4 linked regions of the Anolis sagrei genome follow. The protein of the gene in region 3 purifies or fractionates together with the protein of the main gene of each other region. This does not show direct contact. Links are inferred from orthologs where the notes say so. Each region holds a gene or a part of one and is shown on either strand. Other genes may lie near its edges. The genes, in order: NAP1L1, RUVBL2, H2AZ1 and WDR5.

Region 1 (7,367 bases), about 120 Mb from region 3:
TTTATGTACGTGTAAGTATTGTTATTTGTGGGTTGTTGTAGGATTTTTGGTCTGTATGGCCATGCCCTAGAAGCATTCTCTCTTATTATTTGTGTTTAAGGCTGGTAAGAGAAATTGTGTAGTTATTCAATTTTTGTTCAAGTATGTTGATGTATGTATAAGTATTTTTGTTTTCTTTATTTGTGCTTGATGTTGGTTAGAGAAATTGTATCATTATTGCAATCAGTCAATTACAGTATATTTATGTATGCATGTAAGTACGGATGTGTACTTTGTGTTTCGTGTTAAGAAAAACAGTGTAATTATAATGCAATTGTTCTTTGAGTATGTCTATGTGTGTATAAGTAATGTTGTTTTCTTTATTTGTGTTTGATGCTGGCAATATAAATTGTGTAGATGTAATGCTGTTCAGTTCAGTCTGTTATGCATGTGTAGGTTTGTTTTCTTTCATTTGCATTTCATGTGAATGACAGGAGAAATTGTGCAGTTAAGTTGCAATGCAATTGTTGTTCAAGTATGTCTATGTGTGTATAAGTATTGTTGTTTTCTTTGTGTTCGATGCTGGTAATATAAACTGTGTAGTTGTAATGCTTTTCAATTCAGTCCATGTGTGGGTTTGTTTTCTTTCATTTGCATTTGATGTTGACGATAGGAGAAATTGTGCAGTTAAGTTGCAATGCCATTGTTGTTCAAGTTTGTCTATGTGTGTATAAGTATTGTTGTTTTCTTTATTTGTGTTTGATGTTGCTAAGATAAACTGTGTAGTTGTAATGTTCAAATATTTCTAGGTTCTGTATGTGTGGGGTTGTTTTCTTTCATTGGTATTTGATGTTGATGCAAATTGTGCAGTTAAGTTGCAATGCAATTGTTGTTCAAGTGTGTCTATGTGTGTATAAGTATTGCTATGTGTGTACAAGTATTGAACTAACTACACAATTTATTTACATTTGATGTTACTAAGATAAACTGTGTAGTTGTAATGTTCAAATATTTCAATGTTCTGTATGTGTGGGGTTGTTTTCTTTCATTGGTATTTGATGTTGATGCAAATTGTGCAGTTAAGTTGCAATGCAATTGTTGTTCAAGTGTGTCTATGTGTGTATAAGTATTGCTATGTGTGTACAAGTATTGAACTAACTACACAATTTATTTACATTTGATGTTACTAAGATAAACTGTGTAGTTGTAATGTTCAAATATTTCAATGTTCTGTATGTGTGGGTTTGTTTTCTTTCATTTGCATTTGATGTTGATAATTGGGAGAAATCATGCAGTTAAGTTACAATGCAATTGTTGTTCAAGTGTATCTATGTGTGTATAAGTATTGCTATCTGTGTATAAGTATTGAACTAACTACACAATTTATTTGCATTTGATGTTACTAAGATAAACTGTACAGTTGTAATGTTGTTCAAATATTTCTATGTTCTGTATGTGTGGGTTTGTTTTCTTTCATTTGCATTTGATTGGGAGCAATTGTGCAGTTAAGTTGCAATGCCATTGTTGTTCAAGTGTGTCTATGTGTGTATAAGTATTGAACTAACTACACCATTTATTTGCATTTGATGTTACTAAGATAAACTGTGTAGTTGTAATGTTGTTCAAATATTTCAATGCTCTGTATGTGTGGGTTTGTTTTCTTTCATTTGCATTTGATGTTTGGGAGAAATCGTGCAGTTAAGCTACAATGCCATTGTTGTTCAAATGTGTCTATGTGTGTATAAGTATTGCAATGTGTGTATAAGTATTGAATAACTACACAATTTATTTGCATTTGATGTTACTAAGATAAACTGTGTAGTTGTAATGTTGTTCAAATATTTCTATGTTCTGTATGTGTGGGGTTGTTTTCTTTCATGTGCATTTGATGTTGATGATTGGGAGAAATCGTGCAGTTAAGTTACAATGCCATTGTTGTTCAAGTGTGTCTATGTCCATAGATGTATTGCTGTTCCCTTCCGCTAAGCAAATAGCTGCCATTGGCGAAAGAGAGGCTTTTCTGCCTCCTGGAATCAACAGCAAGGAAAGAAATGGAGGCCAGAGGTCTTGCGTTACCTGTGGACGCAACCACACCAGGTTTGCATCAACTCTCTCCTAACAACTAAAGCGGGTGCTTTTATTCCTGTGGAAAACCTAACGAAGAGCGATCAAGTCTACTCCAAGCCTACTTCCCGCCAAACAGAGACGCCCTTCTCTCTCCTCCCTCTCCCCTCCCCTCCCTTGAGACCCCAAAACTCAACAGAAGAGGGGTATGTATTTCCACCTCACGCCTCGCAAGCCACCTCCCGGCCCAGGCGCTTCAGGCCCCGGCCACGCCATCTACGTGGCGCCGGGGAAGTAAGAGGCCTCGTCCCCACGTGTTTGGCCGTGGCTTCAGGCGGGCGGACTAGGCCGGGCCGAGGTGCCCATCTACCCAGATTTTCTGAGGGGAAAGTGGCCTCAGATAGGAGAGAGAAAGCGGTTTTGCCCTGCCACGGGCGAAGAGCCACAGGAAAGAAGAGGGGGAAAGGAACCCCCTTTGCCCGCCTGCTTTCTCCATTCCCGCCAACGCCAAGCTTTCCCCCTCAAGAGGTCTTTCTTTCCTGCCTCACCGAGCAACGTCGTCGTCGTCGTCATGCCGCCATTTCAGGCATCCCCAGCCTCGCCCTCCCTCGCTCGTTCGCCCTCCCCGCCACGCGCCGCCCTCCTCTCTCTCATTCTCTCTCTCATTCTCTCTCTCTACCTGCGCGAGGCCGGCTCTCTTCTCTCCTCTCCGCTTCTCTCCTCAGCCTCGCCGTGAGTGACTCAGGAGCGGGGAAGCAGCGCCGCGCGGCCAGCAGTAGGAAAGGACCCAAGCTCCCGCCGCTCGCGCTCATATAGAATTAACGTCACCACGTAACGCTTCCCTCCCTCTTTCTCCACACACACACCTCTTTCCCCTCCTCTCGCCTTTCCCGCGCGCTCCTGTTGCTGGGCAACCCAGCCGGCGCGCGCGCACATCCGCCTCCCGCGCGCTCGGAACGTCCACACTCGCTGCCTAGTGACAAGGCCCCAAAAAATAGAAGGTGGGGGGAGTAAATCTCGCTCTCTTTCTCTCTCTCTTTCCCCCCCCCCCCGCCCGCCAATCAACCCGCCAACTCTGCCCTAGCCAATCAGCGGGCCCGGACGGGCAAGGCCCCGGCGCTTCACGGGCTGGACACGTGCTCCCTGGATTCCTTCAGGACAAACAGCAGTGCGCGTGCGCGTGAGTGTGAGGTTGGAGGGAGGGGGGAGCAAAAGGAGGAGAGCAGAGAGGATGACAGTTGGGAAGGAGAGTGGAGAGAGAAAAAGGAGGGCGCTGGCTCTAGGAAGTGGCCACAGTGGCTCTTGTTGGCCTCAAAACTTCACCCTGCAGCCTCTGGAACGCAATCTAAATGGGAAGGGAAGGCAACTAGCCCTCCTTCTGTTCAATTGTAAAGGAATATTTCCACATAATAATAATAATAATAATAATAATAATAATAATAATAATGGAGTCCCTGGTGGTGCAACGGGTTAAACTGTTGAGCTTGTTGACCAAAAGGTTGCAGGTTCAAATCTGGGGAGTAGTGTGCTGTCAGCCCCAATTTCTGCCAACTTGTCAGTTCGAAAATATGCAAATGTGAGTAGATCAATAGGTACCGCTTCAGTGGAAAGGTAACAGTGCTCCATGTAGTCATGCTAGTCACACCTTGGAGGTGTCAATGGACAACACTAGCTCTTCGGCTTGGAAATGGAGATGAGCACCACACTCGAGTTGGACACGACTGGACTTAATGTCAGGGGAAAACCTTTACCTAATAATAATGCGGAGCCCTCAGTGGCACAGTGCGTTAAACCGGTGAGCTGCTGAGCTTGTTGACCGAAAGGTCGCAGGTTCAAATCCGGGGAGTGGTGTGAGCTTCCGCTGTCAGCCCCAACTTCTGCCAACCTAGCAGTTTGAAAACATGCAAATGTAAGTAGATCAATAGGTACCGCTCCGGCGGAAAGGTAACAGCGCTCCAGTCAGTCATGCATGACCTTGGAGCTGTCTATGAACAACACCGGCTCTTCAGCTTGGAAATGGAGATGAGCACCACACCGTAGAGTCGGACACGACTGGACTGAATGTCAGGGGAAAACCTTTATCTAATAATAATGTATTACCTGTATTATTTGTTTGGTTGCATGCTGCAAGTTGCTTCTGGTGTGAAAGAATCAGCCGTCAACAAAGACATTGCCCAGGAGACTCCCAGACATGTTACGATCCTGCTGGGAGGCTTCTCTCGTGTCCCCTGCTGCTGAGTACGCATGATCAGTGTGGAACACATCTCACTACGTTAAAACAGTGGATGTGGCTCTTAATGAGACATGCCGCATTATCACAGGATGTCTACGCCCAGCACCACTGGAGAAATTATACTGTTTACCTGGTATTTCACCATCTGACATCTGCTGGGAAGTTGCCAATCATGAAAGGACCAAGGCATGGACATCTCCGGCCCATCCCCTCTTCGGATATCAACTGACACGTCAATGTCTTACATCAAGAAATAGCTTCCTAAGATCTACAGAGATACTCGCAGAAACACCTCAGCAAGCAAGAGTCCAAAAGTGGCAGGCTAAAACCTGGAACCTCAACCCATAGCTGATACCGAATGAGAGACTCTCGCCTGGGCACACAGAAGACTGGGCGACTTGGCACTGAACAGGCTGCGGTCTGGCCCCATGAGATGCAGAGCCAACCTTACGAAATGGGACCACAAAATGGGACCACAACATGCGAGTGTGGAGAAGAGCAAACCACAGACCACCTATTACAATACAGTCTTAGCCCAGCCACATGCACAATGGAGGACCTTCTCATAGCGAAAACCAGAGGCACTCCAAGTGGCCAGATATTGGATTTTAGGGTGTTCTCTAAAAATTCTCGGTTTTCAAACCAACCCTTCTGACTGTGAGCAAGACACACTCTTTCAGCCTCAGAGGAAGGCAAAGGCAACTCCCCCCTCCCTTCAAGAAAACCATGTCATAGGGTTGCCTTAGGCCCCATCTACACTATCCATGTAATGCAGTTCAAAGTTGGCTCGCAAACTGTGGTGGCTGGACAACAAAATCCCACAAAAGAAGGCAAAAGAAAGCCCTTAATGTGCATCAGTGCGCTGTGGTTTGTGCTATCACCACCTGGGCTTCGAACTGGTTCTGGGACTTCCTATGTAATCATCTACACCAGGCAAGAACAAAGTTCAGCCCTCCAGGTATTTTGGACTTCAACTCTGACCATTCCCAACAACCTCAGACCCTTTCCTTTTAAGCAGCTGAGGGGGAAAAGGAAAGGGCCTGAGGATGTTAGAAATGGTGGGAGTTGAAATCCAAAACAACTGGAGTGCCGAATTTTGCCCATGCCTGATCTACACAGCGAAAGCCATACTGCATTGCGGAATGGTGAAAAGACCTTGCAGATCTCATCCGCACACACTCCTAAGCATGGTCGTAAAGAAGGGGGATTAGGCATGTTGCACCTGGGAATAGAACAAAAGCTAATGTGCTTTAAAGATGGGAACCACATGATCAGAGCCATGAGACTCAGAATCATTTTGGCAGTCCAGTGCTGGATAGACATAAGATGACCACAGTGGAATAAAGAAAGGATATATTTGCACTGATCAAGTACATTATTTTGCCATGTTTTTACTAACAGAAAAGTTGTCTAATTTTTTTATTGAAAGAGGAAAAATTCAGCTTAATGTCTGTTGTAAAAGTTTCTTAACACTTTTGAAGACTGCTGTCAACAATACCAGCCTACATTCCTTGAATTAGCAAGAACCCTAAGCCAAGACGTATGCTTTCAAAATAAGCACCACTTCCCATCTGAGCTCCTAAGGAATTTGATAGATTTCCAGGGGAAAAAAAGGATATAGCACCATCTTTATAAATAGCTAGGTTTTATTTTAGCATGAGCTTTCTTGGGTGTACATTATGTTTATTATTTATTTATTTATTATTTATTTATTTATATACCGCTTTTCTCAGCCCTCAGGCGACTCAAAGCGGTGAACAACATCAATACAAAACATCACGAGACAAGTATAGGGCAATTAAAAACAATTGTAACATAAATCATTAAACATCTGTATAACAATTATTAACAGTAAACATCTGTATAACAATTATTAACAGCCTCAACAGTAAAATCAGAATCCAGTCTCATCATCCATTATTCTGTATTCCTATGTTCAATTACACTGTTTAATCAAATGCTTGTTCGAACAGCCAGGTTTTCACTTTCCTTCAAAACGCCAGCAGGGAGGGGGCCGATCTGATATCTGCAGGCAGGACGTTCCACAGCCGAGGGGCCACCACTGAGAAGGCCCTGTCTCTCGTCCCCGCCAAGCGCGCCTGTGATGCAGGCGGGACAGAGAGCAGGGCCTCCCCAGATGATCTTAGTCCTAGCCGGTTCATAGGAGGAGATGCGTTCTGAGAGGTAAGTAGGGCCAGAACCGTTTAAGGCTTTATAGGCACTTTGAATTGTGTCTAGTAACAAACTGGCAGCCAGTGGAGCTGGCGCAACAGAGGAGTAGTATGCTCCCGGAGTGCCGCTCCTGTTAGCAACCTGGCTGCCGAACGCTGGACCATTTGAAGCTTCCGAGCAGTCTTCAAAGGCAACCCCACGTAGAGAGCGTTGCAGTAGTCTAAACGGGATGTAACCAGAGCGTGGACTACCGTGGCCAAGTCAGACTTCCCAAGGTACGGGCGCAGCTGGCGCACAGAGCATCTTCATGCTAAAATAGGCAATGAACATGGATCCTGATATACATTGCCAAACATTAATTTGTGGTAAGACCCAGCATCAGGATTGGTTTTGTTTTAGGGCACAGCCCTGGTGCATGTGAAGTAATATTCAACATGGACATATCTGCAAGAAAATATGAAAGTAGGGTACCTCTGAAAGATACAGATTGTTTTCATAGCTAGTAACCACAACACTAAAGAAGCCATGACAGCCCTTTGGTGTAATGACAGTGGTGCCAAAATCAGATTGTGCAACAATGGATCGCTAAAGCGACAGTTGTGAGAAAGAATAATACATAACTGCATGCTTCCATAATTAAACTAGCATGATTGCAGTGAGACAGCATCTCCCACTGCAATCTGGTGTACACTGAGAGTCTAGGAACAATCAGTCTTTTAATGCATCAACAGTGCTGCTCAAGAGTGGGGATCCATGGACAAGTGCCATTCCATGTACTTCTGGCTGCCAATCTGCAGCAAGTTTCCAAGATAGAAGCAGTTATTGGTTCCTGGCACATTGGATGGAAACCATGCCAGTACTTCAATTCATAATTCTACTGGTTCTCATGAGAATGGCACTTTTAGCTGACTACAAAATC
Region 2 (7,063 bases), on a different chromosome or scaffold from region 3:
TTTGGAAGAATCTATTATTATTATTCTGACACAAAAGCACAGTATGTCACAGCAAACGAGATCTACATGCTGGATTTCGTATCAAAAATCACAAATCGAACACTTCCCAAGTGTCTAGGACTGTGTGATGTATTTTCGAATGATGCACACAGATCCAAGTAAGGTGGCCTTTTGTAGTTGATAGATCGTGATTTTGTTGATGTTTATTGTTTCCAAATGCCGGCTGGGATCTTTTGGCACGGCACCCAGTACGCCAATGACCACTGGGACCACCTGTACTGGTTTATGCCAGAGCCTTTGCAGTTCAATTTTGAGGTCCTGAGAGTGGCAGAGTTTTTCCTGCTGTTTTTCCTCAGTGTAACTGTCACCTGGTATGGCGACATCAATAATTCAAACTTTTTTCTTTTCCACAATCGTGATGTCAGGTGTATTGTGTTCCAACACTTTGTCAGTCTGGATTCGAAAGTCCAACAGTATTTTTGCATGTTCATTTTCCACAACCTTTGCGGGTTTATGGTCCCACCAATTCTTTACTGCTGGCAGGTGGTACTTGTGACATAAGTTCCAGTGAATCATTTGGGCCACAGAGTTGTGTCTTTGTTTGTACTCCATCTGTGCGATTTTCTTGCAACAACTGAGGATATGATCTATGGTTTCATCAGCTTCCTTGCACAGTCTACTTTTTGGACCATCAGCTGATTTTTCAATCCAGGCCTTAATTGCATTGGTTCTGATTATTATTATTATTATTATTATTATTATTATTATTATAAAACTACATTTATACCCCACCCTTCTCTCCCCAATTGGGGGACTCAGGGCTGCTTTCAGACCATGGCATACAATGCCGCATTACACATATAAAATATATCAATTTAAACAATTAGCATATCAATTATCAATTAAAACATACGGTACTAAACGTGACATACCAATTAAACAATTCAAATATAAATACAATAAGAAGCTTCAAAGCAAACATTCAATCCCAACCAAAGTGGGCTGATGACATATCAATTAAACAATTCTATCAAAATACAATAAAACATCTTAAAAGTAAACATTTAATCCCAACCAAAGTGGGCTGATGGAATAATAATAATAATAATAATAATAATAATAATACTTTATTTATACCCCTCTACCATCTGCCAAGGGACTCGGTGCGGCTTACATGAGGCCGAGACCACAATACATCAATACAAGCAATAGCAATTACAAAACAAAACAAAATACAAATACTAATACAAAGCAATTAAAATAAATCTCATACACAAAACAGCATAAACATTGAACAGTGGCACAAAACACATTTAAAAACTATGGCTGGGCCAAATGTAATTAAGTTAAAAATAATGCTGGGCATGAACAAGGTAGAGGAGGTGGGGCGTTGGGGAAACGTACAAGCAGTCCTAAATCAGTATAAAGTGCTTTGGAGGACATAATGCTAAGGCAGGGGTCTTCAAACTTTTTAAGCAGAGGGCCAGGTCACAGTCCCTCAAACTGTTGGAGGGCTGGATTATAATTTGGGGAAAAAAATGAATGAATTCCTATGCACACATCTTATTTGTAGTGCAAAAAACCCACTTTAAAGCATTACAATAATTAAAATGAAGAACCATTTTAACAAGTATAAACTTATTAGTATTCCAGTGGTATGTGTGGGCTTGCTTTTGGCTGATGAGATTGTTGTTTTGGCGGGTTGTTGTTGTTGTTGTTGTTGTGTGCTTTCAAGTAATTTCAGACTTAATGTATTGTCGAAGGCTTTCATGGCTGGAATCACTAGGTTCTTGTGGGTTTTTTCGGGCTATATGGCCATGTTCTAGAGGCATTTCTCCTGACGTTTCGCCTGCATCTATGGCAAGCATCCTCAGAGGTGACCCTCACCTCTGAGGATGCTTGCCATAGATGCAGGTGAAACGTCAGGAGAAATGCCTCTAGAACATGGCCATATAGCCCGAAAAAACCCACAAGAACCTAATTTCAGACTTAGGTTGACCCTGAGTGAGGGCTGGGTAAATGACCTTGGGGGGCCATATTCGGCCCTCGGGCCTTAGTTTAAGGACCCGTGTGCTAATGGTTCATTATTCTGTGAAAGCACACTGGAACAACCACGTCTTCAAGCTTCTCCTAAAGACTGCCAGAGTTGGGGCATACTTGATGTCCTTAGGGAGTGAGTTCCAGAGTCGAGGGGCCACCACCAAGAAGGCCCTCTCTCTTGTCCTCACCAATTGCGCTTGCGATGCAGGTGGGAGCGCGAGTAGGGCCTCTCCAGATGATCGAAGAGATCATGTGGGTTCGTACACAGAAATAAGTGGCCACAAGCAGCAGGCAATCTACACAGTAGAATTAATGCTGTTTGACAGCACTTAAACTGCCATGGCAATACTGGGAGTTGTAGTTTGTTGAAGCAGAGAAGTCTAAAGGACTTCTAAAATGACAACGACGAGGATTCAACAGCAGTGGGCTGTGGTTGATAAAGTGGTGTCAAACTGCATTCATTCTACAGCAGGCATGGGCAAACTTGGGCCTTCCTCCAGGTGTTTTGAACTCCAACTCCCACCATTCCTAACAGCCTCAGGCCCTTTCCTTTCCCCCCTCAGCCGCTTAAGCGGCTGAGGGGGGAAAGGAAGGGGCCTGAGGCTGTTAGGAATGGTGGGAGTTGGAGTCCAAAACACCTGGAGGAAGGCCCAAGTTTGCCCAAGCCTATTCTAAAGTATAGTAATACACCTACAACACTGCAGGCCTCTGATAAACTACATAGCCAAAGATAAGAGGTGATGATGGGAGTTACACTCCCAACAAAACCGGGGAATGCTTGCTCTGGCATTCCTCTCACAAGTTAGAAGAAAAAGAAAGTAATCAGATGCTAAACTCGTATAAAAGAAGGATGATCCGGGTATTTTCAAAGGAGGGAAACAAGGCTGTCGCTCACCGACACCGTTGCCATGCTGCTGCTCCCGCCGTCTCTCGCGCCGTCTCTAAGCGGCAGCCGGCCCTGCCTCCTCAGCACCGGAAACAGGAAGCGGCCTCAGCTTTCAGGGCGCTCTGTCCGAGGCAACGTCTATGCTCCCTCAGTCCTCCAGTAGTCCTTGCTGTAGTAATAGTCATTCCAGCTCAGCTGTGTACAAGGTGTCTGTGAAGTCTCTTTACCAGTTTATTAAAAGAGGCTTTAAATGTTGTTATGTTTATTTACCCTGATAATTAATTAATGAGTTAAATATCTAAGAAGCTAGACATAATGCAACCTGTCTAATTATGTTAGAGCAAGCATGGGCAAACTTGGGCCTTCCTCCAGGTGTTTTGGACTGCAACTCCCACAATTCCTAACAGCCTACCGGCTGTTAGGAATTGTGGGAGTTGCAGTCCAAAACACCTGGAGGAAGGCCCAAGTTTGCCCATGCATGTGCTAGACTGCTGGGATTTGACATCCACATTGTTGCCCAGGCCTGCTTTCTCCCTTCTCCAGCTCTGAGAAGGCCCATCTCACAATTTTTCCATGGCAACAGTAGACATACTCTATTTGCAGCTTCCCTCCTTCCTCCATCTACCTCATACAGCTTCTCACCTCTTCATTCTTTCCTCTCTTCCTTCCTTTATCCCTTCTTGTGTCCAATTCTGGGCACCACAGTTTAAGGGAGATATTGACAAGCTGGAATGTGTCCAGAGGAGGGCGACTAAAATGATCAAGGGTCTGGAGAACAAGCCCTATGAGGAGCGGCTTAAGGAGCTGGGCATGTTTAGCCTGAAGAAGAGAAGGCTGAGAGGAGATATGATAGCCATGTATAAATATGAGAGGAAGCCACAGGGATGAGGGAGCAAGCTTGTTTTCTGCTTCCTTGGAGACTAGGACGTGAAACAATGGCTTCAAACTACATGTCCATCTGAACATGAGGAAGAATTCCTGACTGTGAGAGCCGTTCAGCAGTGGAACTCTCTGCCCCGGAGTGTGGTGGAGGCTCCTTCTTTGGAAGCTTTTAAATAGAGACTGGATGGCCATCTGTCAGGGGTGATTTGAATGCAATATTCCTGCTTCTTGGCAGGGGGTTGGACTGGATGGCCCATGAGGTCTCTTCCAACTCTTTGATTCTATGATTCTTTCTTCTCATCCTTTCTCTTTCCTTTCACTTCCTTCCCTCCTTTTTCTTTCACCCTTTCTTTCCTTCCTTTCCCTTCTTTTTCTGCTACCCCACTTTTTCTCTACAAGGAGACTCATGTTCAAACGCAAACACATGTTCTAACTGTTTCTATGGCGGTATATTTCTAGTTATCTACTTCTAACTCTTTGCTTTACTGGGAAATTTATAGTGAACATTGCTATTTTATGACACCATACTTTAGGGTTCTTTCTGCCTTCATTTCAGTTGAAAACCACTTCAAAAAAAGTCCTGTTTAAATATAGTTAGCCATACGATAAATTTTATATGAAAGCATGCACAAAGCAAAAGGAAAACTGATGTGACAAAAGGGGAAATTATCAAGAATGAAGCAACATCTACCAATAAAAGTTTTGAGGATTTTTTTCAGATTAAAATATTTTATTTTAAAATAAACAGTGCTTCAGAGAAGCTTTCGGCATTTCACAGAAACACACCCAAATCCCTGAGTTTGTGGGATAAATTAAGAGATTTGCAGTAAAATTCTGTACATTTTCACACTGTGTTTTCACATTGTTTGTAGCTTGCAAGTACATTTTGAACAGGATACATTTTCCATGTATAGTAGGACCCCCATATCCACTGGGATATAACCGAATGCCATTAAATCACATGACTTCCATATCAAAGCGATGCACTAGAGCAGTGGTTCTCAACCTGTAGGTCCCCAGGTGTTTTGGCCTACAACTCTCAGAAATCCCAGCCAGTTTACCAGCTGCTAGCATTTCTGTAAGTTGAAGGCCAAAACATCTGGGGACTTACAGGTTGAGAACCACTACACTAGAGGATCTAGAGATTCCTATAGAAGAGTAGTTCTCAATCTGTGGGTCCCCAGATGTTTTGGCCTTCAACTCGCAGACATCTTAACATCTGCTAAACTGGCTGGGATTTCTGGGAGTTGTAGGCCAAAACACCTGGCAAGCCACAGGTTGGGAACTACTGCTATAGAAATATAATCTCTAGGAATTCACTAGGTCCTCCAATGCAACCCTATGGTAACTTCCAGGGAAAGCATACTATAGAATCACCTGGAAAACCTAGCAAATTCCCAGAGAGAGACCATTATTCCTCTGCTGTGGATAAGTGAAGCCATGGATATAAGTTCCATGTTTATAGGGATCTTACAGTATTGATTCCACTTTTCAAAAGCTCCCATAAAATCAAGAAAATTAACAAGCAATAAAACAACACAATAAATATATATATATTTAAAAACAGCAAAACAAAGAAAAGTCACACATAGAAACCAGAACTAACTCTTATAAAAAAAAACTTGGGAAAGCAACAGTTGGCACATGTAAAATAAAGTGAGCACAAAAGCCTTACTTTGAGCTACTGCTTATCCTACTGCCATAAAACAGCTTCTAAGGAAAGCCTCAATTTCCAGAGATATTTATCACAGAACAAGGTTGTAATTTAAGGTCCTCTTACATTACAACCCTTTGCATATTTCCTTGAGAATAAGGTAGCATTTGGAAATTAGTTACACAGCAACATATTGCACTGTCCCAAAAAGCAATGACATTTTCATGGGTGAGGAGAGGACTATGTCCTTCCTTTTAATCCTAGAAATCTCAATGTTTCATTTCCTTTTTTTTTAAGTACAGCTTTCCCTAATCTTTTGTCCACTAGATCATCTGAAATGCAACTTGCATTAGCATGGAAAACTTGGCCTATGGTCAAGGAGGGTGGGAGCTGTACAGTCATCCTTTCACATTTGCTGGGGTTAGGCAAAAGTGAAAAATAAAAATAAATGGCTTTTTTAAAACTTCAGATAATACCTCTCTAGGAATTTCGATATCCTCCAGCATGACACTATGTGAACTTTCACTATGTGAAATTGACCATAGAATCGCATGGAAGACCTACAGTTTGTTTTTAGAGAGGTGTTCTCTGTATGACTCTCTGAGGTCACATTTCAAACACAAGGCTTGCGGGCTGAATCTGGCCCACCATGTCCTTTTATGTGGCCCTCCAGAAGGTGGACTACAACTCCTGTATTCCGTACCATGAGACATCATGTCTAGAGTTGATGGGAGTTGGGATACAGCAGCATCTGAAAGGCTGCAGTTTGTCCTGTTGAGTCAGGAGAGTGGAGTTTTAGATACAAGGCCTGTGGATATAATGCCCTTTAACCTTTCCAACCTCAGGGTGACAAGTGCTGTTGGGTTGCAATCTCCATTATCCACAGTCTGTATAGCAGATAATCAAAAGTGATTATAGTTGTTCAATAACATCTGACAACCCAGACTGGGTAAAAACTAAAGAGCACTAACCAATATGTGTGTGTGTGTGTGTGTGTTTGTATATAGATAGATAGATAGATAGATAGATAGATAGTGTTGACACTATATATGAATGAATTCAACACCCATGGATTCAACAGCCCTTTGAAGGCAACCACAAGGCTGATGTGGCCCTCGATGAACCTCAAGGCTGATGTGGCCCTCGAGTTTGACACCCTTGTTCTATGTCAGGCATATGCAAACTTTGGTCCTCCAGGTGTATTGGACTTCAATTCCCATCATTCCTAACAGTCTCAGGCCCCTTCCTTTTCCCCCTACATCTAGAGGGCCAAAGTTTGCATATGCCTGTTCTACGTCCTCCCAACATGACTCTACAGTCAACATCCAACAAAGTTAATCACAGAGTTATACTGGAGGATGGAGAGAATCCTAGAACATTTTAATCAAATCCGCAAATGTCGGATCCACAAACGTGTAGGGCGACTGTAATTCAGATATCTAAAGGGCACCAGGTTGGGGGAATCTGTCGCAGAGAATAAACCAGCACATCTAACAAGTCCTTTTTTTTTTACATTAGCAAAGTAAAATTTCATGCAATTTGTCTGACTCTTCCTTTCTCCTTCATTTAAAGTGTCATCATCAAAAATAAAAACCCAAATT
Region 3 (6,854 bases):
CTCCCACAGTTCCTAACAGTCTTCCGGCTGTTAGGAATTCTATTTATTTACAACATTTATAAGCAGCCTTTTTACCCTGAAGGGGACTTAAAGAGGCTTACAAGTTATATGTACATACAATACATATTATTAGAACAGCACATTATTATTATATGACTGTATTATACTATACCAATATACTGTAATATTATTAGTAATGTTACATGTAATATGAAATATACAATTATATTGTATTACTAGTATTATATTGCATTACATATTATCAATATTATACATGTATATAATATATTATTAGCACAGTACATTAGTATTACATATTACTACTAGCTATCCCCTGCCACTCGTTGCTATGGCCAGTTTGTGTATGTGTTTTGTGTGTGTATATATGTGGTTATGTACATGAATTGTAATTTTTTTTTTGCTTTTTTGAGTCTTTTCTGCTGGGTTTTTCAGTGTTTTTATGAGTGATGGTCACTCATTGGTCTGATAGATGTATTGTGTCCAAATTTGGTGTCAATTCGTCCAGTGGTTTTTGAGCTATGTTACTCCCACAAACGAACATTACATTTTTATTTACATATTGTACTATACCACTATACTGTAATATAAAATATACAATTACTATATTGTTAGAATCATATTGTATTACATTATCAATATTATATGTGTATAATATTGATAATATAATCAATATTATATTGATTATAATGGCGGGGACGAGAGTCAGGGCCTTTTCAGTGGTGGCCCCTCAGCTGTGGAATGCCCTTCCTACAGATATCAGATTGGCCCCCTCCTTATTGGCATTTCGGAGGAAAGTGAAGACCCGGTTGTTCGAACAGGCATTCGATTAGGCAGTGTAATTGATTATAGGAACACGGAGTAACGGATGATGATATTGGATTCTGATTCTATTGATGAGACGTGAATGATTTCCATCTTGTCTTTACTAATAATATAATATAGTATATTATATATACATATATTTATAATATTATAATGTAATACAATATAATGGTACAGTGCAATATACTAATATTATACTGATATTGTACTACGCTAATAATATAATATATTGTATGAAAATATATATTGTATTGTCGAAGGCTTTCATGGCTGGAATCACTAGGTTCTTGTGGGTTTTTTCGGGCTATAGGGCCATGTTCTAGAGGCATTTCTCCTGACGTTTCGCCTGCATTTATGGCAAGCACCCTCACCACCTCTGAGGATGCTTGCCATAGATGCAGGCGAAACGTCAGGAGAAATGCCTCTAGAACATGGCCCTATAGCCCGAAAAAAACCAGAAGAACCTAAAATATATATTGTAAGCCGCTCTGAGTCCCCTTAGGGGTCAGAAGGGCGGCATATAAATGCCGTAAATAAATAAATAAATATTGATGTTTGTTGTTATGCTATTTGTTTTTAAATGCTCCAATGGTTTTGTAATGTGTGTATTGAAATTGCTGTTGTTAACCGTTTTGAGTTGCCTAAGAGTTGAGAAAAGCAGTATATAAATGAAGTAAATAAATAAATAAAAATACAATATATTGTGGGAGTTGAAGTTCAAAACACCTGGAGGAAGGACCGAAGTTTGCCCGTGCCTTTTCCATTGGGGCTGCATCTTAATGCATGGAAAGGGGGTTGGGACTGGACGTGGTCTCTCCCAACTCAGTTCCGAGCACAACTCAAGGTGCTGGTTTTAACCTACAAAAACCTGTACGGTTCCGGTCCAGTGTATCTGTCCGAACGTATCTCCCTCTACGTCCCACCCGGAGTCTGAGATCATCTGGGGGGGGCCCTGCTCTCGACCCCACCACTGTCACAAGTGAGGCTGGTGGGGACGAGGAGCAGGGCTTTCTCAGTGGTGGCCCCTCACCTGTGGAATTCACTCCCGGGGGAAATCAGGGCATCACCATCCCTCCTCGCCTCCAGGAGGGTGAAGATGTGGTTATGGGACCAGGCCTTTGGGCACTCTGGCAATTAAATCAGACAACCAGGCGAGTATGTCCAACAGGATTGATGAAGTGGAATGTAAAACTAGATCTATGAGCTAGCGAACGCTGACCATGTAAGAGGCGAAACTGGGTTTGTATTGGTTTTATTGATTTTATGGTTATAATGCATGAATTGTTGTAATTTTGTGTATGATTGTTTTATGATGCAGGCATCGAATTGTGCCTTTGCCTTTGTAAGCCGCCCTGAGTCCCCCTCGGGGTGAGAAGGGCGGGGTAAAAGAACCCCAAATAAATAAATAAACTCTTTGATTCTATCAACTTTTTCCTTCCTAGAAGGACGCAAGACAAGGCCGAACGCTTTGCAACACCCCCCAAGTGCCCACCTGCAAGCCAGCTCTCTGTGAACGGGACACCGTCTTGGTTTTGGTCTTCCCAGAGTCTTTCCCAGCTTTGCCACCGGCCTAGAAGAGCACAGAGAAAGAAGCAGAAGAGGCAAGGCAAGTCAACACGTGGCCTCCTCCTCCTTAGCAACCACCCCCGCCCCGCCGCGGGCTGGCTCCCACGTGACGCAAGGGCTTGGGGCGGAGAGGGCGCGCGAGAGGTAGGCAGGCCCGCGCGTGCGCAGTCTCCTCTTCACAGCATTCCCTCCCCCCCATTCTATAAGGCGTCGGAGCCGAGGCGCATGCGCGGTAGGTCCTCCACGAGCCTTACTCCCGGGCGCATGCGCGTCACTCTTCTCCCACCGCGCCCCTCACTGTCCTCTAGCCTCTCCCTCTTTCTTTCCCCATCCGGGTATTCCTTATGCCAGGCAGCCGACAGCACGAGACTAGGGCGCATCACGCGCTCCCTTCACAATTTTTTCCCCTTTCTTTCCCCTAATCTGCCCTGATCCGCTTCACCCTCGCTTACCATTTCGAATGAGGCCTTGGAATGAGACACACGAAAGCAGAACTGAGCGCAGACCTCCCTGACGATGCGAAGACGGCGGCGCCAGTTCAAAACTGCGCCCGCTCCCGCCTTCCCCGAGCCCTTTATAGGCGGCTCTAACGTCCCGTCATCCGGGGCCTCGCGTCGTCAAACCAGCCAATCGGCACAATGAGGCGGCTCCCCCTGCGCCCCGGGAGGACCAATAGGAAGCCGAGCAGGAGGGAGGGGGAGGGGCTTGCGTTCGGAGCGTCTCGCGCCGAACTGTCCCGTATAGGCCCCGCCCACCTGAGCCCCCAGAGGCGTTTCTCTCTGTTCTTTCCTCTCTCTGCTCTCCTTCCCCGCCTGGAACGTTTCTCTCTCCCATCACCACTCAATAAAGAGACATCCCCACTCTCCTCTTTGCAGCTGGTTCCTTTTTCTCAATTAAAAAATATATAAATTTCCCCACTTTCCTGTGAAGAGAAACTCTTCTGAGCGTTTTAGTCCTTGGGGACTTCAACTCCCAGAAGCCCCTGCCAGCGTGGACCACTCTCAGGAATTCTGGGAGTTGAAGTCCAAAATACTTAAAAGGGCTGTAGGTTCCACTAAAACTGGATTGTAGGGAAAATTATAAAGCAGGCATGAGCAAACTTGGGCCCACCACTTCTTTTGGACTTCAACTCCCACCATTCCTAACAGCCTCAGGCCCTTTCCTTTTCTCCGTCAGCTCTCCAGGTGTTTTGGACTTCAACTCCCACAATTCCTAACAGTCTCAGGCCCTTCCCTTTTCTCCTTCAGCGCTCCAGGTCTTTTGGACTTCAACTCCCACAATTCATAACAGCCTCAGGCACTTTCCTTTTCTCCTTCAGCCCTCCAGGTGTTTTGGACTTCAACTCCCACAATTCCTAACAGCCTCAGGCACTTTCCTTTCCTCCTTCAGCCCTCCAGGTCTTCTGGACTTGAACTCCCACAATTCCTAACAGCCCCAGGCCCTTTCCTTTTCTCCTTCAGCTCTCCAGGTGTTTTGGACTTTAACTCTCACAATTCCTAACAGACTCAGGAACTTTTCTTTTCTCCTTCAGCCCTCCAGGTGTTTTGGACTTCAACTCCCACAATTCCTAACAGCCTCAAGCCCTTTCCTTTTCTCCTTCAGCTCTCCAGGTCTTCTGGACTTCAACTCCCACAATTCCTAACATCCCCAGGCCCTTTCAATTTCTCCCTCAGCCCTCCAGGTCTTCTGGACTTCAACTCCCACAATTCCTAACAGCCTCAGGCACTTTTCTCCTTCAGCCCTCCAGGTGTTTTGGACTTCGACTCCCACAATTCCTAACAGCCTCAGGCACTTTCCATTTCTTCCTCAGCCCTTCAGGTCTTTTGGACTGCAGCTCGCACCATTTCTAACAGCCTCAGGCCCCTTCCTCGCGCCGAACTGGAAAGGAAGGGGCCTGAGGCTGTTAGAAATGGTGGGAGTTGAAGTCCAAAACACCAGGAGGGCCCAAGTTTGCCAATGTCTGTTATAGAGGAATACTAACTGCTGTGCATTGCATCTACCATGTGTACCTTCAAGTGGTTCTCGACTAATGGTAACCGTTGTTGTCACAGGGTTTTCTTGGCAAGATTGGTTAGGATTGTTGTTGTTGTTGTTGTTGTTGTTGTTGTTGTTGTTGTTGTGTGCTTTCAAGTCATTTCAGACTTAGGTTGACCCTGAGCGAGGACCAGGTAAATGACCTCGGAGGGCCGTATTTGGCCCTCGGGCCTTAGTTTGAGGACCCCTGTCATAGAGTCTCAACCAATTCAACCTAGTTTGTGACAGCCACAAAAATGAAGTTTCTGGAGTAGAACAGCTCCAGAATATCGAGCTTATGGATATAACTTTGAAAATGTATTTACAGTCTGCTTTTTTATTGTACTTTTGTGATTGCTTAGTCTGCTAATTTTGGAATTACTTCTGGATTATTTTTGAAACTATCTTTTCTATTATATACCTTTTTCTTAATAAACTTATTACTTATTGTTGAACTGTGGTGTTTGGGTATTTATTTATTGTGCCAGAAGTGAATTGAGAATGCAGTTATAATTCATATAAAAACCATAAAGTTAAAAGCTTGGCATTCTACTACATTTCTTTTAACCAGAAGCTGGCCACTTGCAGTACCTCTGGTGTGGCTGTAAGAAGATCCACCATTGTGCATGTGGCAGGGCTCAGGTTGCATTGTAGTAAGTGGTCTGCGGTTTGCTCTTGTCCGCACTCGCATGTCGTGGGCGGCACTTTATGGCCCCATTCCTTAAGGTTAGCTCCGCATCTCGTGGTGCCAGAGCGCAGTCTGTTCAGCGCCTTCCAAGTCACGCAGCCTTCTGTGTGCCCTGAGGGAGTTTCTCATCTGGTATCAGCCAGTTTCAGGTTTTAACCTGCCACTTTTGGATTCTTGCTTGCTGAGGTGTTCCTGCAAGTATCTCTGTAGATCTTAGGAAGCTGCTTCTTGATTTAAAGTGTTGGCTTGCTGGCTGATACCAGAACAGAGAATGGTCCGGAGATGTCAATGTCAAAGCAGATAATTCACTATCTGCTTTGAACTGGATTATATGAGTCTATATTCCAAATAATCCAGTTCAAAGCATATAACCTGGATTTTATATGGCAGTGTAGAAGAGTCCACAGCATCCTCATATGTTCTATTCTTAGGCACTTCACATGATTCAACTGGTTTTCTGTTTATCCCAGAAAAGCTGGGATCAGATCCTGGACTTTAAAGTCTGTATGGAAGGGCCCTCAGCCTCCAATATGCTATATGACCCCTTTGCATTCATATACATATATTGATAGTTCCAGTTTCAGAGATGAGCAAATACCTCACCTACAAAGTTGTTTTTTTTAACAACCCAAACTGCCCGGTAACAGTGTGGGGTATTATGAATTCCTCATCCACAAATCTCCTTTCTGTACTTTACTTACTTAGGCAATCCCTCGTTGTCCGAGTAGGATAGTCTTCCAAGATAAGTGGCGGTGGGTCTGTAGGTGACTATAGAGCCCTCTTCTTTATCTGCATCTTCTCCCACAGTGAGGGCATTGGTTTCCAGGTGGAAGGTGGTCCCATTCTGGGTTGGCTTGATGTGCCTCCCTCTTGACACGTTTCTCTCTTTCGCCCTCCATTCGTGCCTCTTCAAATTCTACAGCACTGCTGGTCACAGCTGACCTCCAGCTGGAGCGCTCAAGGGCCAGGGCTTCCCAGTTCTCAGTCTATGCCAGAGTGTTTAAGGTTGGCTTTGAACCCATCTTTAAATCTTTTTTCCTGTCCACCATCATTCCAATTTCTGTTCTTGAGTTTGGAGTAGAGCAACTGCTTTGGGACACAGTGGTTGGGCATCCAGACAACGTGGCCAGTCCAGCGGAGTTGATGGCGGAGGACCATAACTTCAATGCTGGTGGTCTTTGCTTCTTCCAGCACGCTGATATTTGTCCGCTTGTCTTCCCAAGAGATTTGCAGGATTTTCTGGAGGCAGCACTGATGGAATCATTCCAGGAGATGCATGTGATGTCTGTAGACAGTCCACAACTTGCAGGCATATAGCAGGGTTGGGAGGACAATAGCTTTATAAATAAGCACCTTGAAATCCCTACGGATGTCCCAGTCCTCAAACACTCTCTGCTTCATTCAGAAAAAAGCTGCACTGGCAGAGCTAAGGCAGTGTTGTATTTCAGTGTCAATGTTGACTTTTGTGGAGAGGTGGCTGCCAAGGTAGCGGAAATGGTCAACATTTTCTAATGTTACACCATTAAGCTGTGTTTCTAGCATTGGAGAGGGATTGCCTAGTGACTGCTGGAAGAGCACTTTGGTTTTCTCGATGTTCAATGACGGGCCGAACTTCCCATATGCTTCTGCAAAGGTGTTTAGAGTGGCTTGTAGGTCTTATTCTGAATGCACACAGACAACTTTGTCATCAGCATATTGGAGTTCTATAACATGTTGTTGTAACCTTGGTTTTGGCTTTCAGTCT
Region 4 (7,456 bases), on a different chromosome or scaffold from region 3:
TGTAGGTTTTTGCGGGCTATATGGCCATGTTCTAGAGGCATTTTCTCCTGACGTTTCACCTGCATCTATGGCAAGCATCCTCAGAGGTAGTGAGGTCTGTTGGAACTAGGAAAATGGGTTTATATATCTGTGGAATGACCAGGGTGGGACAAAGGACTTTTGTCTGCTGGAGCTAGGTGTGAATGCTTCAACTGACCACCTTGATTAGCATTTATTGGCTTGGAAGTGCCTGGGAAGTGCATGTTTTGTTGAGAGGTGATTTGATGTGCCTGATTGTTTACTTTCTGTTGTTTTGTTGTTGTAATTTTAGAGTTTTTTAATACTGGTAGCCAGATTTTGTTCATTTTCATGGTTCCCTCCTTTCTGTTGAAATTGTCCACATGCTTGTGGATTTCAATGGCTTCTCTGTGTAGTCTGACATGGTGGTTGTGAGAGTGGTCCAGCATTTCTGTGTTCTCAAATAATATGCTGTGTCCAGGTTCCAACTTGCATACAAATTCATCTTAAGAGCAAACTACCGAGCCTATCTTGTACGTAACTTTGGGACTGCCTGTACAACTTATGAACCCTTCCCTGAGCAATGTTCACCCAACTCCTTAAATGACACTGGGATTTCCAGGGCTAGGAAGAATCCAACATACTAAGCAGCCTCCGAACCTTTTGAGCATTTGAGTTTGGGAGGCAGATGCCTCCGTCGTACCTTGGTTTGGTTGGTCGAAGAGGAAGGCGTGGATTGCGTTTTGGTCGACTCTGCATCGGGTTTCTTCTCTTCCGTGGCCATAGCTCTGGAAAGAAGCCAGCCAGCTTTCAGGCTCTTCCGAGGACAAAAGAGCACGACGGCTTAGAAGTAAAAGCAGTCTCCTGGAGAAACGGACAGAAAAAGAAACCAACCAATTGTTTTCATACGGTAAATGCTTTAACATTGTTTTTCCAAAACTGACTTGGGTGGCAATTCAAACAGTGCCAAATTGAATGAATTCCACAATATAGATGCACCCTAGAGACCTTATAAAGCTACAACTCCCAGAATCCCATAGCACTGTGCCACAGCAGTTAAACTGATGCCAAACCGCATTAATTCTGCAATGTAGGTACACCCTATAAAACTTATACAGCTTATACAACTTATACATTGATTCCACAATGTAGATGAACCCTAGAGACCTTATAATGCCACAACTCCCACGATGCTATAGCAATGCCCCATGATAGCTCAAGTGGTACCCAAACGGCATTAATTCCACCATCTAGATGCACCTTAGAGACTTTATAAAAGGACAACTGCCTCACTGCAATTAAAGTGTGCCAAACTGCATTAATTTCTCAATATAGATGCACTCTAGAGACCTTATAAAGCTGTAACTCCCATGATGCCATAGCACTGTATCACTGCAATTAAAGTGGTGCCAAACTGCATTAATTTCTCAATATAGATGCACTCCAGAGACCTTATAAAGTTGTAACTCCCATGATACCATAGCACTGTGTCACTGCAATTAAAGTGGAGCTAAACTGTATTAATTCCACAATGTAGATGCATTCTAGAGACCTGATAAAACTACAACTCCCTCGATGACATAGAACTGAGCCATGGCAGGTCAAGTAGTGCCAAACTGCATTAATTCCACAATGAAGATGCATTCTAGAGACCTGATAATGCTACAACTCCCAGGATGCCATAGAACTGAGCCATGGCAGTTCAAGTGGGACCAAACTGCATTAATTCCACAATGTAGATGCATTCTAGAGACCTGATAAAGCTACAACTCCCAGGATGCCATAGAACTAAGCCTTGGCACTTCAAGTGGAGCCAAACTGCATTAATTCCACAATGTAGATGCACCTTAGAGCCCTTATAAAGCTACAACTCCCAAAATGCCATAGAACTGACCATGGCAGTTCAAGTGGGGCAAAACTGCATTAATTTCTCAATATGGATGCACTCCAGAGGCCTTATAAAGCTATAACTCCCATGATACCATAGCACTGCACTACTGCAATTAAACTGGTGCCAAACTGCATTAAATCCACAATGTAGATGCATTCTAGAGACCTGATAAAGCTACAACTCCCTCGATGACATAGTACTGAGACATGGCACTTCAAGTGGAGCCAAACTGCATTAATTCCACAAAGTAGATGCATTCCAGAGACCTGATAAAGCTACAACTCCCAGGATGCCATAGTACTGATCCATGGCAGTTCAAGTAGGGCCAAACTGCATTAATTCCACAATGTAGATGCATTCTAGAGACCTGATAAAACTACAACTCCCTCAATGCCATAGAACTGAGCCATGGCAGTTCAAGTGCTACCAAACTGCATTAAATCCACAATGTAGATGCATTCTAGAGCCCTTATAAAGCTACAACTCCCAAGATGCCATAGAACTGAGCCATGGCAATTAAAGTGGGGCCAAACTGCATTAATTCCACAATGTAGATGCATTCTAGAGACCTGATATTGCTACAACTCCCAGGATGCCATAGAACTGAACCATGGCAGTTCAAGTGCTGCAAAACTGCATTGATCCCACTTTAGCTCAGGCTTCTCCTCTCAAAGCACGTGTGCACGGCCACACACGTGTACACACTGGCCACACACGCATAATCCTTGCATATCTCAGCAATGGAAGACTTTCAGTTCGCCAGACACACAAAAACCCATGAAAGCATCCCTAAATCTGTATCTATAGAACTGGAAGCTCTTCGGGGCAGAGAAGGGAGGGGGAGGGGGGCAAAAAGGACCCCATGACGTCATCGCCACTGAGGCCTAGTCGTTGGGCCTGCGCCTTTCCCGCCTTACTCGATTCGCCCCTGACGACGGAAGGGAGGATGTCTTCCTCTTCCTTCTCCTTCGCCTCCTCCGTCCTTTTTCTCTCAGCGGCGGCCCCGTTTTCCTTTTTCTGGCCGCCGGGCGGGAGGAAGGCCTCTCGCGCAGGCGCAGTGAGGAAGGACGCAGCCGCTCCTCAGGCCGGCCGCAGCGAGAATCCGCCCCGCGCAGGCGCAGAAGGATAGCTTCCCTACGACTACGGTGGCCCCCGAGGGATAAAAAGAGCCTTCAAATCTTAATAGGCAACGCGAGCGACATCTTTTCGCTTAGCCTCCCTTGGCGCACGCGCAGGAGGGGGCCTCCCTCGGCTACGGCGGCCCGCGAAGGATAAAAAGATCTCAAAACAATACTTAAGAGACTTGAGCGCGCGCAAAACGCCTTAAAGGGACAGGGGCGAATTCTTTGGCCTGCTTGGAATGAACGTTCTGAAAGCATTTTTAGGGGATTTTCAGTAAATTTCGAAGAATAGGCCGAACTGATCTGTATCCATGACTTAAATATATCTCTATATGATTTTGGCATTTTGTATGAAGAAGTATTAAATATATATATATATGTGTGTGTGTGTGTGTGTGTGTGTGTGTAGATACACACATATATATATTACTAATTGTATAATATACTGTTAATGTATTATATATGTAATGGGATAATATTATTATACAATACAATAAATATATATAATAATTGTATATTATATAGAACATCTAATATTATTAATAATATAGCAATATAGTGGTCTAGTACAATATAATAATATCAAACACTAATATTGTGCTTATTTATTTATTTATCGTGTCATCAGCAAGCATACAATTGTATTACATTTCTAACAGAACACAACAAACCAACAGAAAAAAGAAAACAAATTTTGCAAACTTGGTAGTTGATTAAATGTCCTTTGGCCAGTATCTGGCCACTTGGAGTGCCTCTGGTGTTGCCGTAAGGAGGTCCTCCATTGTGCATGTGGTAGGGCTCAGGTTGCATTGCAGCAGGTGGTCAGTGGTTTGCTCTTCTCCACACTCGCATGTCGTGGATTCCACTTTGTGGCCCCATTTCTTGAGGTTGGCTCTGCATCTCGTGGTGAGCGCAGTTTGTGCAGAGCCTTCCAAGTCGCCCAGTTTTCTGTGTGCCCAGGGGGGAGTCTCTCATTTGGTATCAGCCATTGGTTGAGGTTCTGGGTTTGAGCCTGCCACTTTTGGACTCTTGCTTGCTGAGGTATTCCAGCAAGTGTCTCTGTAGATCTAAGAAAACTATTTCTTGATTTAAGTAGTTGCTGGCTTTTCTTATGTCAGTAGAAAAAGGAAAAACAAGGAGGCGATAGGGCCTCTTTGAGGAGAAGATGGGGCAATGCTGACAGGGGATAGGGAAAAGGCAGAACTACTTAATACCTTCTTTGCCTCGGTCTTCTCACAAAAAGAAAGTCATTTTCAATCTCCGTAAGATGGAGTGGATGAGGGATTAGAGAGATTCCCAAATTGGGAAACAAGTCGTCCAGGAATACCTGGCCGCTCTAAATGAGTTCAAGTCCCCTTTCAGGGCCAGATCAACTACACCCAAGAGTACTGAAGGAACTAACGGAAGTCATTTCGGAACCATTGGCAACCATCTTTGAGAGTTCTTGGAGAACGGGAGAAGTTCCAGCAGATTGGAGGAGGGCCAATGTGGTCCCAATCTTCAAGAAGGGAAAAAAGGAGGACCCAAACAATGACCAATGTCCGGTCAGCCTCACATCGATACCAGGCAAGATTCTGGGAAAGATTGTTAAGGAAGTGGTCTGCAAACACTTAAAAACAAATGCGGTCATTGCTAATAGTCAACATGGATTGATCAAGAACAAGTCATGCCAGACTCATCTGATGTCTTTTTTTGATAGAGTTACAAGCTGGATAGATGCAGGGAATGCCGTGGATGGAGCGTACCTGGATTTCAGTAAGGCCTTCGACAAGGTCCCCCATGACCTTCTGGCAAGGAAACTAGCCCAATGTGGGCGAGGCAAAACTATGGTGAGGTGGATCTGGAATTGGTTAAATGGACGAACCAAGAGGGGGGTTCTGGTTAAATGGACAAATCCAGAGGGTGATTCTCCCCAAGGGTTCCTCTTCATCCTGGAAAGAAGTGACGAGCGGAGTGCCGCAGGGTTCCGTCCTGGGCCCGGTCCTGTTCAACATCTTTATTAATGACTTAGATCAAGGGCTAGAAGGCATGATCATCAAGTTTGCAGACGACACCAAATTGGGAGGGAGAGCCAATACTCCAGAGGACAGGAGCAGGATTCAAAACAATCTTGACAGATTAGAGAGATGGGCCAAAACTAACAAAATGAAGTTCAACAGTGACAAATGCTAGATACTCCACTTTGGAAGGAAAAACGAAATGCAAAGAGACAGAATGGGCGAGAATGCCTGGCTCGAGAGCAGTACGTGTGAAAAGGATCTTGGAGTCCTCGTGGACAGGAAGTTAAGCATGAGCCAAAGATGTGATGTGGCGGTGAAAAAAGCCAATGGGATTTTGGCCTGTATCAATAGGAGCCTAGTGTCTAGATCTAGGGAAGTAATGCTACCCCTCTATTCTGCTTTGGTTAGACCACACCTGGAATATTGTGTCCAATTCTGGGCACCACAATTCAAGAGAGATATTGACAAGCTGGAAAGTGTCGAGAGGAGGGTGACTAAAATTATCAAGGGTCTGGAGAACAAGCCCTATGAAGAGTGGCTTAAGGAGCTGGGCATGTTTAGCCTGGAGAAGGCTAAGAGGAGATAGGATAGCCATGTGAGAGGAAGCCACAGGGAGGAGGGAGCAAGCTTGTTTTCTGCTTCCCTGGAGACTAGGACGCGAAACAATGGCTTCAAACTACAAGAGAGGAGATTCCATCTGAACATGAGGAAGAACCTCCTGACTGTGAGAGCCGTTCAGCAGTGGAACTCTCTGCCCCGGAGTGTGGTGGAGACTCCTTCTTTGGAAGCTTTTAAACAGAGGCTGGATGGCCATCTGTCAGGGGTGATTTGAATGCAATATTCCTGCTTCTTGGCAGAATGGGGTTGGACTGGATGGCCCAGGAGGTCTCTTCCAACTCTATGAATATAGTGGTCTAGTACAATATAATAATATAGAACACTAATATTGTGCTATGCTAATAATATATATATATTATAATGTAATATAATAGTAATAATAATAATAATAACACTTTATTTGTACCCCGCTACCATCTCCCCAAGGGGCTCGGTGCAGCTTACATGAGGCCAAGCCCACAGTACATCAATACAAGCAATAACAACAGTACAAGCAATTAAAATAAAACATAGACAAATAAAATATACAACATTATCAATAAGACAACACATAATTAAAAACAGTGGGAAGGCCAAATGTAAATTAAAATTGGAAGTAATGCTGGGACATGGACGAGAAGGTGATAGTGGCATTTATGGAAGGGCATATGAGCAGACCTTAAAAATGTAAAGTGCTTTGGAGGACAAGGTGCTATGGAATCAATTATTCCGGGAAGGCACACTGGAACAACCACGTCTTCAAGCTCCTCCTGAAGACTGCCAGGGTTGGGGCCTGTCTGATGTCTTTAGGGAGAGAATTCCAGAGTCGAGGAGTCACCACCAAAAAGGCCCTCTCTCTCGTCCCCACCAACCGCGCCTGCGATGCTGGTGGGATCGAGAGCAGGGCCTCCCCGGATGATCAAAGGGATCGTGTGGGTTCGAATACAGAGGTGCGGTCACGCAAGTAGGCGGGTCCCAAACCGTTCAGGGCTTTGTAGGTAAGAACCTGCACCTTGAATTGGGACCGGAAAATGAATGGCAGCCAATGGAGCTCCTTGAACAGGAGGGATGACCGCTCCCTCTAAGGAGCCCCAGTTAGCAACTTGGCCGCCGCCCGTTTGACCATCTGGAATTTCCGAGCCGTTTTCAAGGGCAGCCCCACGTAGAGTGCATTGCAGTAATCCAGTCTAGAGGTGACTAAAGCATGGACCACTTTGGCCAGATCCGCCTTCCCGAGGTACGGTCACAGTTGGCGCACGAGTCTTAATTGTGCAAAGGCCCTCCCGGCCACCACCGACGCCTGAGCCTCAAACGTAAGTGAAGACTCCAGGAGGACCCCCAAGCTGCGGACCTGTGACTTCAGGGGGAGTGCAACCCCGTCCAGCACAGGTTGCCACCCTATATCCCGGACTGGTTTACGATCGACCAGGAGGACCTCTGTCTTGTCGGGATTGATCTTCAGCTTGTTCCTCCTCATCCAGACAGCCACAGCGGTCAGGCACTCGTCTAGCACTTGAGGGGCTTCCTTGGAGTTAGGTGGAAAAGAGTAGTAGAGTTGAGCGTCATCTGCGTAGAGATGGCACCCAGCTCCAAAACTCCGGATGACGTCTCCCAGCAGTTTCATCAGGATGTTGAAAAGCATGGGGGACAGAATGGAACCTTGTGGGACCCCACAGGTCAAAGGCCAGGGGTCCGAGCAGGCGTCACCCAGCTTCACCACCTGGGATCGACCCTCCAGGACAAAGCCGTACCTCTAAGGCCCATCCCGGAGAGTCGTCCCAGAAGGATACCATGATCGATGGTATCAAAAGCCGCTGGGATGTCCAAGAGAACCAACAGGGTCTAAATGT

Evidence for each region.
Region 1: the proteins of H2AZ1 (region 3) and NAP1L1 purify together in Homo sapiens (affinity purification with mass spectrometry; 3 studies listed by BioGRID and IntAct, with this or other methods). This does not show direct contact. The link is inferred for Anolis sagrei from reciprocal best matches to the Homo sapiens genes H2AZ1 and NAP1L1.
Region 2: the proteins of H2AZ1 (region 3) and RUVBL2 purify together in Homo sapiens (affinity purification with mass spectrometry; 6 studies listed by BioGRID and IntAct, with this or other methods). This does not show direct contact. The link is inferred for Anolis sagrei from reciprocal best matches to the Homo sapiens genes H2AZ1 and RUVBL2.
Region 4: the proteins of H2AZ1 (region 3) and WDR5 purify together in Homo sapiens (affinity purification with mass spectrometry; 3 studies listed by BioGRID and IntAct, with this or other methods). This does not show direct contact. The link is inferred for Anolis sagrei from reciprocal best matches to the Homo sapiens genes H2AZ1 and WDR5.

What each region holds. Positions count from the first base shown.
Region 1 is NC_090025.1:146,472,928-146,480,294, forward strand, and holds the start of NAP1L1 (nucleosome assembly protein 1-like 1), read right to left. Parts: upstream 3,019-7,367; 5' UTR 2,910-3,018; intron 2,881-2,909; exon of another isoform or gene 2,723-2,880; intron 1-2,722. UniProt on the Homo sapiens protein: Histone chaperone that plays a role in the nuclear import of H2A-H2B and nucleosome assembly.
Region 2 is NC_090026.1:28,231,318-28,238,380, reverse strand, and holds the start of RUVBL2 (ruvB-like 2), read right to left. Parts: upstream 3,017-7,063; 5' UTR 2,951-3,016; coding exon 2,936-2,950; intron 1-2,935. UniProt on the Homo sapiens protein: Possesses single-stranded DNA-stimulated ATPase and ATP-dependent DNA helicase (5' to 3') activity; hexamerization is thought to be critical for ATP hydrolysis and adjacent subunits in the ring-like structure contribute to the ATPase activity.
Region 3 is NC_090025.1:26,582,929-26,589,782, forward strand, and holds the start of H2AZ1 (histone H2A.Z), read right to left. Parts: upstream 3,007-6,854; 5' UTR 2,865-3,006; coding exon 2,862-2,864; intron 2,414-2,861; coding exon 2,336-2,413; intron 1-2,335. UniProt on the Homo sapiens protein: Variant histone H2A which replaces conventional H2A in a subset of nucleosomes. Nucleosomes wrap and compact DNA into chromatin, limiting DNA accessibility to the cellular machineries which require DNA as a template.
Region 4 is NC_090031.1:5,426,425-5,433,880, forward strand, and holds the start of WDR5 (WD repeat-containing protein 5), read right to left. Parts: upstream 3,006-7,456; 5' UTR 2,806-3,005; intron 862-2,805; 5' UTR 782-861; coding exon 701-781; intron 1-700.